2 linked regions of the Ovis aries genome follow. The protein of the gene in region 2 binds, or shares a complex with, the protein of the main gene of each other region. Links are inferred from orthologs where the notes say so. Each region holds a gene or a part of one and is shown on either strand. Other genes may lie near its edges. The genes, in order: DFFA and DFFB.

Region 1 (4,476 bases), about 6.2 Mb from region 2:
TAAAACATCTTGGAGATAGGAGTCTGATAACTGTCTGCAGGTCTATTAGAACTCAGAAGGCGAGTGCTTTTGGGAGAGGTAAGGATTCATGGGGTCGCAGAGTTGGAAACGACTGAGCGACTGAACTGAACTGAAGGCTTCTACGAACCTTTATTACTTTATAGTGGTTGAGTTGTTCGACTTTAAGCCAATTGTGACATTACACACACGAAAGAGCTGTATACATTAGAAATATGTCAGTTCATATCACAGTTGTGTTTGATCAGTGATGGCATATTCAAAAGCATTGCCTCAGTTAACAATTCTTCCTACCAAACACTGTTTTAAATGTATTTTTCTTATGAGATAAATCTGATTTCCTTTAATAAAATATGAAAGGGATTGACCCTGAATTAATACAGTCTGATAATTATTCCTTCAGTTCAGTTCAGTCGCTCAATTGTGTCCGATTCTTTGCGACCCCACGGACTGCAGCAGGCCAGGAATAACAGGAATAACAAATTATTTCTTGTTTATATAAAATGCCCCCCTTTTAAGCCAGGAAACTTTTTGTATTATTTTAATCTTAAGTGTTGGTTTTTCAGGGGTGAAAAACACAGACTTTTCCCTAAGTAGCAGTATTAAGACAAATATGTTGTCAAGCAGCATCTGGACAATCTCAACAGTGATGAGATTTCCCCTTTTCTCTCTGATTTGAAATTATAATGTTTAACCTAATATCTAAGCATTTTATTCCGAAGTCCCAACCCAATTTACAGATCTGAAGCAGAGAACTGAATGCGTGGAAATGTGGGAGTATTTTATGCTTCTCTGTTAGCTCTTCAGCAAGATTGAAAACTATACTCGTCAATTTTTAAAACTGATTTCCTTCAGATCAGCGTGAAGCTTGGGACATTTTATAGATCTTTTCAGGTTGGAAAGGAAAAACAGTACAAAGTAAAATGACACTGTTTTAAGTATTAATATCATGCATCTATATATGCAAAAGAGGCTTCCCAGTCGGCTTAGTTCAGTTCATTCGCTCAGTCGTGTCTCTTTGAGACCCCGGTGGCTCAGCGGTAAAGAATCCGTCTGCAATGCAGGAGACCCTAGTTCGATCTCTGGGTGGGGGAAGATCCCCTGGGAAAGGAAATGGCAACTCACTCCAGTATTCTTGCCTGGGAAATCCCATGGACAGAGGAGCCTGGAGGGCCACAGTCGAGGGGTTCCCAAAAGAGTGGCACACGATTTAGCAACTAAACAACATACTGGAGGAAAGAGTTCAAGGAAATATACACGCGTGTCCATCATACTGCAAAATTAACCCCTACTGACCTCATTTTGAACGCGCAAATGCAACTCCTTAATATAAGGTAGGAAAACAAAAACACCTCCTGGACTGAATTGCGCGACCTAAGTCGGCTTTGAACCCACAGACTACAGCTCCCGGCATGCCCCCGTTAGCCTCAGGTGATTAGGAGCACCTAGAACTCCATCTCCCGGCGTGCCTTGGTCTCACGCGTGATTTGCTACGGAGAGAACTACATTTCCCGGCATGTCGTGGGGGATGGAATTTGGGAGGACTCCCGCGCCTCAGTCTCCCTGACTTCTAGTCGGTCTGGTCCCATCCTGAAGAGGATGGAGGTGGCCAGCGGCCCTGCAGCTCCGGAACCCGGCGAGATCCGGGCTCTAAAGCAGTGTTTGCTGCGCCGCAACAAAAGCCGGGAGCAGCACGGCGTGGCGGCCTCTTGCCTCAAGGAGCTGAGGAACAAGGGTAGGCACGGGACCGGGGCGAGGGCTTGGGGAGCTGGAGCCCAGGCTGAAGGGAGCCAAGGGCAGGGTGAGGATGTCCGGCGGGGCTAACCGAGATCAAGAAAGGCGACTTGGGGCTTCTTGTAACTGAAGTGGAGGACCCTTGGGACAGATATGACTCACGTGGGTATAGCGACTTATCAGTTTCACCGCGTTTGTGCCAAGCGTTTTAACTTAATTTACTTTATGTGCGATTCATATGTGGAAAGGCAGACGGGAAGCAATATGCAAATGATTTAAAACAGACTCTACTTCGGTGTCTTGCCTCCGGTGACTCAGATTGTGGATCGAACCCAGCCTGGTGTAGTCCTGCCACTCGGGCTCCCTGAGGTGGTACTGGGGCCCTCAGGTGAGCCTACGGCGAGGTGGGGATGGGTTTCCACCGTCAGCTCTAGCAGGTACCTGTGAGGTAAAGAGGGAGCCGCTACTTACCGTCCCAGAGGTCCAGACAAGGAACAGCTGCTGTGAGTGACCTAGCTTTCAAAAGTTCTGAGCCTCCTACTGTTACTAGTTGCCTGACCTTGCAGGTAACCATCTGTTGATCCCCAATTTTCTCATCAGCAAAGTGGCTATATTTCCAGCCCTGCTTCACTGAATTGTTGGGACTCTCCAAGGAGATAATATATTCAAATGACTTACAAATTATTAGCCTGTAGCAATAAACTGTTTACCGAAAGAAGTTCTTTAGGTTAAACCTGTGAGTCATCCCTAGGCAGGTAGTGAAGGTGTATGTATGCCTGTTCAGAGCTTCCTCCCAGAGTCACTCAGCCGAGCCGGTATCTGATAGAAGTCTTTCAGAGACACAGAAACAGCCAAAGCACTCTAAATGCTTCAGTGAGATGGCTTTTGCCATATAAGTGTTTACATAATTTTTCTTGGCATGAGGGTTCTTAAGTTTTAGTGCCCCTTTAGTGCAGTGGCTGGATGCACTTGGCACAGAGGCCCCTGTAAGTGCTTGTGTTTCTGGAGCTCGGCCTATGCAGGGTTTGCAGGGTGCAAGACGATATTGCCCGATGACATTTGTAGTCTCTCGGCTACTTTTCTGTGTGCTCTAGTCCCATTAGCATTTTAGGCATTGCCATCATTAGGCAAGTACAGACCTGCCCTGGACAAAACCTCTTGACCATTGATCATACAGATGAAAAGTTCCTGTTACAATCTTCTGTCTTCTGCTTCCTTTACACTTTCCTATAGGTTAGTAAGACTGTAAAGATACTGCAAGAACATAAAGTATTTTTTTCTTTTTTAAACTTTTCTTTTTCTCTGGACACATAGGAGAACTTGAGTCATTTAGACCACTGAGAAAATGAACGAAAGACGTTTATTCTCAAAGAATCAAATCAGACTTTTGTTCGTTGTTCATCCAAGGAAAGAGTTGAGTTCCTCCTAATGAGGGTATTGAGTAGCTGGAGAAAAAAACGTTTTCAAGAGCCAGACTGTGTGGGTTTAAATGCCAGTTACTTACTGTGTGACCTTGAGCAAGTTAGTTAACCTCTCTAAGCGTTGGGTTTGACATCTGTAAAAATGGGAGTAACAATAGTATCTACCACAGGATTGTTATGAGATTAAGTAGTCTATATGAAAAGCACTTAGTATAGTACCAGGCACATGGTAAATGTTATATTAGTATTAGTGGTCATCATTATAGTTATTATTAGCTACTAGAGATTTTTCTAGGCTCTGGGGGCATACATACTGAGTACAAAGACAGATATAGTTTCCCTATGGATATTTGTCAATTGCCAAATATTTTATTCCTCTCAGCTTGTGACATTCTGGCCATTGATAAGTCCCTGGCACCAATAACCCTGGTCCTGGCAGAGGATGGCACCATAGTGGATGATGATGATTACTTCCTGTGTCTTCCTGCCAATACTAAGTTTGTGGTATTGGCTGGGAATGAGAAGTGGACACACAATTCAGGTAAGAAATACTGGGCGTATATATAGTATACCCTCCATCGTGATTTGCTTTACTACACGTGGCACCTGATTGCTGTTTGGCTGGCTGTTTCAGCATATACGCAGCAAGCATTACTGAGTGCCTTCTGTATGCCAGATTGACGCTGAGTCGGGGGATGAAGATGAATGAGATGGGGTCAGGTCTCAAGTGACTCATGGACCCACAGCAACTATAACACAGCAGGGCAGAGAGATCTGGGCCACAGGTTAGGGTCAGACTACCTGGTCCGAATCCCAGCTCTGCCATTTACTAGTCATGTGACCCTGAGCAAATTATCTAACTTCTCAACCCCTTATTGAGATAGTAGTTATCGTACCTGTCTCCGTGGGTTGTAAGGATGTGAGAACGTAGTACGTATCAAGCAAGCCAGGGCTTCTCAACAATGCTGGTGACATGTTGGGCCAGGAAATTCTTTGTTGGGGGGTTGCTGTCCTGTGCATTGTAGGATACTTAGCAGCATTGCTGGCCTTTACCCACTAGGTACCAGTAGCATCTCCTCACCTTAACTGTGACAACCCAAAATGCCTCTAGATATTGTCACATGTCTACAGGTGTGTGGTGAGCAGAATCACTCCCAGGAAAGAGCCACTGATAGAAAGCATTTAGATCTTATCTGGCATACAGTCAGATAAATCAATACTCCCTGTCACTATCATTACCATCATCCTCACCGGCCATACAGAAGGAACTAATATTGATGAGCAAGGATCAAAGAGCTAAAGA
Region 2 (3,809 bases):
AATGACAGCAGGACAGCAGACAGGTCATCACAGAATGGGGCTGGCACCCAGCGGGGTCTGTGGATGATGCCCCGGAGACACCCACCAGCCAGCCTGGGAAGAGCACTTCACCAGCAGAAGGAGCCTGAGGGTGGCTATGGTCAGCAGGGGTGGAAGCAGGGACGAGGGGGAGCGGGGTCAGGCCCCAGGGCCTCAGATACCCCAGCCCTGAGGTTTCCTCTGTGCTCTTAACAGAACACATGTGGGCAGTTCTGCACCATGAATGATAAACTCTAGTCCAGGACACACAGCCGGGAGCAAGGTCAAGGTGTGGGGGTGGCGGATCGTCTGCAAAGAATGGAACATGACACCTCCTGGCTGACATCCGACCATGAGGTATAGGAGCAACGGCAGGGGCCTCCCAGGGCGAGCAACTCAGTGCTGGCTCACGTTCACCTGCACCCACACCCGCACCAGCCCTCACTCCTCTGACATCCACACCAGTCCTGGGAGCCAAGTCCCAGAGGCAGAGCCGGCTTCCTAAACCTGGCCAGCACACCAGGACCTACTTCTCTCAGATAGCTCCGGATCCGGCTCTCGCAGCTGTATCTCAGATAGCCAGACTTGCTCCTAAAACGGGACTCCAAGCCTGCCGGAAGGAGAGACAAGACGCCTGGAGCCTGGGGCTGTGATCTCCTGGGAGGGGCGGACAGGAGGGCTCTTGACTCGGCTCCATCTAGAAACGTTCTGACGGGAACCTGCTCCTTCTGCAAAGGAAGTCATCTCTGGTCCACAAGCACAGAGCACCTCAAATGCCACCGGGGAGCCGCTTTCCCAAGGGGGCTGCTCCACCTGGCTCAGAAGACCAGTCCAAAAGGTGAGATAGGTCCAGGTGACTAGATGAAGAAGATATGGTCCACCCATGAGATGAAATATCATTCAGCCTTAAAGAGGAAGGGAGTCCTGACACCTGTCTCCACACGATGAACCACGAAGAGGTTATGCTGAGTGAAGAAGGAAGATGCATGAGCTCACTCATACGAGATCCCTGAGGAGTCATATTCCAGGGACAGGAAGATGGGGGACCAGGGGCAGGGGAGAGGTGGGGAGTGATGCCCACTGGGGACAGAGCCTTAGTTTGGGAGGATGAAAACCTCTGAGAACAGGTGGTAGGGCTGCTGCACAACACTGGGACTATATTCAATACCAGCAAAGAACTACATGCCCCCCAAAATGGTGAAGATGGTGAATTTTACTTCATCACGATTGAAAAATAATAAAATGGCCAACTCCAGGGCTGCCTGGACCCTGGCCCTGTGCTTGGGAAACCCCTGGATCTGGGAAATGACGGAGACCCCAGGTCTCAGAGAGTCAGTCCCAGGGAAGCCCTCCGCACCCGCTCCCTCCAGGCCAGAATCCATGAGGTACCTTCAAACCACAGCGGGTCCTCGGCCCTGGTCTCGGCCGCGATGTTCTCGCTGACGGTGCCCAGCAGGTCGGCCAGCAGCTTCTGCCGCAGTGGGGACCGCTCATCCGAGAGCAGCTGCCGGGCGGCCTGGATGACACCTGCGTGCGGCTCCTGGAACACGCTCAGGAAGCGGCTGATGTCACTCACGACTGCCATCGAAGAGGACAAACACAGAGGCCACCAGGCCTTGGAGCACGGCCTCTGGGAAATCGCCTCCTTCCCCTGCCCCGACAGCCACCAGCCCAGTGCTCCTGGTCCCCCACATTTAAGGTGGCAGTGGGGAGGACAGATGGGGAGAACACGGGAAATGAAACACACCAAAGAGAGTTGCTGCCCTTCCCCGTCAGCCTCGCCTCCTCCAAGTGAAACCACCTGGTCTTGGGCCCTCACTCGAGACCTCAGGCTCCAGCTCATCCCTTCACTATCTGGCTGACTCCCCACCTTTCCACACGCACCCCAAAGCAGCCACCCCTCCAGGTAAGCGTGAGAAACTAAGGGCTTCGTCCTATAAGCAGACATCCAGACCCACACGAGGAACGGGCCCCACAGTGGCTTGGGTCATTTCAGGGACTTGCGGCTGCTTGGAATTCAAACATCAGTGCGATCCACTCTCCACAGGCTAAGCAATAAAAGCCATGTCATCATAGCAACTGGTGCAGAAAGACAGAGAAAATCTTCAAGACCTAGAGCTTGTCGAAGAAGTCTCAGACTGAACCGCAAAAGTATATGTACAGAAACATAAAGGGGCTTCCCTGATGGCTCAGTGATAAAAAATCAACCTGCAATACAGCAGATGCAGGTTCAATCCCTGGGTTGGGAAGATCCTCTGAAGAAGGAAATGGCAACACACTCCAGTATTCTTGCCTGGAAAAGTCCATGGACAGAGGAGCCTGGTGGGCTATATAGAGCTGGACATGCCTTAGTGACTAAAATAAGAACAAAGAAAGATAAAAAGAGACAAGAAGGACTTCATCAAAAGTAAAAATTTCTACTCCATGTATAAGACCTGGTTAAGAAAACAAAAAAAGATGAGCTACAGAGAAACTATCTGCCAACCACACATCTGACAAAGACTCACGTCCAGAATGGACCAGGCGAACCCGCGAGACTCAAGCAGGAAAAATACCCAACTACACAGTGGACAAAAGATGCTTCGCAAGAAGGTTTACAGATGGTAAATCGGCCCAGAAGATGGCCAACACCATCAGCTGGGAGGGACATGAGAATCCAGACACCACCACATGCTTGCCGGAGTGGCTAAAGCAGAAACAGCGACAAGGCCAAGAGCTGGTGAGGCCACAGGCGCCTGCTCCTGTCCTTGCTGTGGAAATAAGCCAGGACTGCAGCTCTGGAAAGCAGCGTGGGGCTGCTTCTTTTTCTTGGTAACAACGTTATTCAGATTTAATTCTCTAGAGGGATAAGGCCCGACAGAGGAAGGATGCTCGCCACACCATACATGTCACCTTCACTGCTGCCAGCAGAGTCCCAACCAAGGGCCGAGGCCACATCCACATTCCTGTCAGCCTCTCTCTCTCCCCATCCTTTCAGCAGAGGGGGCAGGACAATCTCAGTCCTTGGAGCTCCACTGCCTTCCCATAGCACCTGAATCGGAAGCCCCTTTCTACAGGAGCCAGACGACCCTCCTAGGGGACATGCCTGGCCAGTGGCTTATGGCTCCAGTAGCACTTGTCACCCAGCAAAGATTCCACTAAAGACCCACCTCCAAGGGCACTGGCTCCAATAAGGCAGTGCCAACAGGAACCTGAGGATGGATGGGTGTCCACAAACCCAACAGAGATCAGACACTAAGCGTAGAGTCAGTCACCTGCCTGTCCCTTAGAAAACAGATTAAGGAAATGTTTACCGACAAAGACACAGGGAGTCGTTTGGACGTCTACATAAGTTAACTTGAATTTATGCTGACTAGGACAGCCTGTCTGTGGTAGATCATACATACGGTGTGCATCTGCCTTAATTATTAAAGAAAAGGTGCACTGACCAGAAGTAAAGAATGTCCATGTTAAAAGTAAAGATTGGGGAATTCCCTAAAGATCCCATGGTTAGGACTCAGATCTCACTACCAAGGACCGTGGTTCAATCCCTGGTTGGGAAACTAAGATCCCACAAGCTGTGCAATGCAGCAAAATAAGTAAATAAAGTTTAAATGCCCCTGTTCCTGGGACGCCAGTGATGGTTACTCCTTCGATGGGCAAGACTTTGCCGGTGCCAAGGCCATGCTGACGCTCTGTGCACATGCTGATCTGCTGTTTCTGAACCCTTAAAGGAAGGCATCCCTGACTTGTTTAACAGTCTTTGTCCTGAAGACACAAAACTGTGCTGAAAACCCTGCTTCTCCGGAGCA

Evidence for each region.
Region 1: the proteins of DFFB (region 2) and DFFA are in contact, whole or in part, in an NMR structure (PDB 1F2R), measured with the Mus musculus proteins. The link is inferred for Ovis aries from reciprocal best matches to the Homo sapiens genes DFFB and DFFA. Residues at the interface, in NP_031885.3 of Mus musculus: Cys10, Lys12, Arg14, Ala19, Cys20, Lys21, Phe22, Gly23, Val24, Ala25, Ala26, Arg39; in NP_001020467.1 of Mus musculus: Asp66, Thr68, Ile69, Val70, Asp71, Asp72, Asp74, Tyr75, Trp94, Tyr96, Asp100.

Annotation. Positions count from the first base shown.
Region 1 is NC_056065.1:42,364,801-42,369,276, forward strand, and holds the start of DFFA (DNA fragmentation factor subunit alpha), read left to right. Parts: upstream 1-1,531; 5' UTR 1,532-1,617; coding exon 1,618-1,753; intron 1,754-3,555; coding exon 3,556-3,714; intron 3,715-4,476. UniProt on the Homo sapiens protein: Inhibitor of the caspase-activated DNase (DFF40).
Region 2 is NC_056065.1:48,614,868-48,618,676, forward strand, and holds part of DFFB (DNA fragmentation factor subunit beta), read right to left. Parts: intron 1,597-3,809; coding exon 1,408-1,596; intron 629-1,407; coding exon 549-628; intron 1-548. UniProt on the Homo sapiens protein: Nuclease that induces DNA fragmentation and chromatin condensation during apoptosis. Degrades naked DNA and induces apoptotic morphology.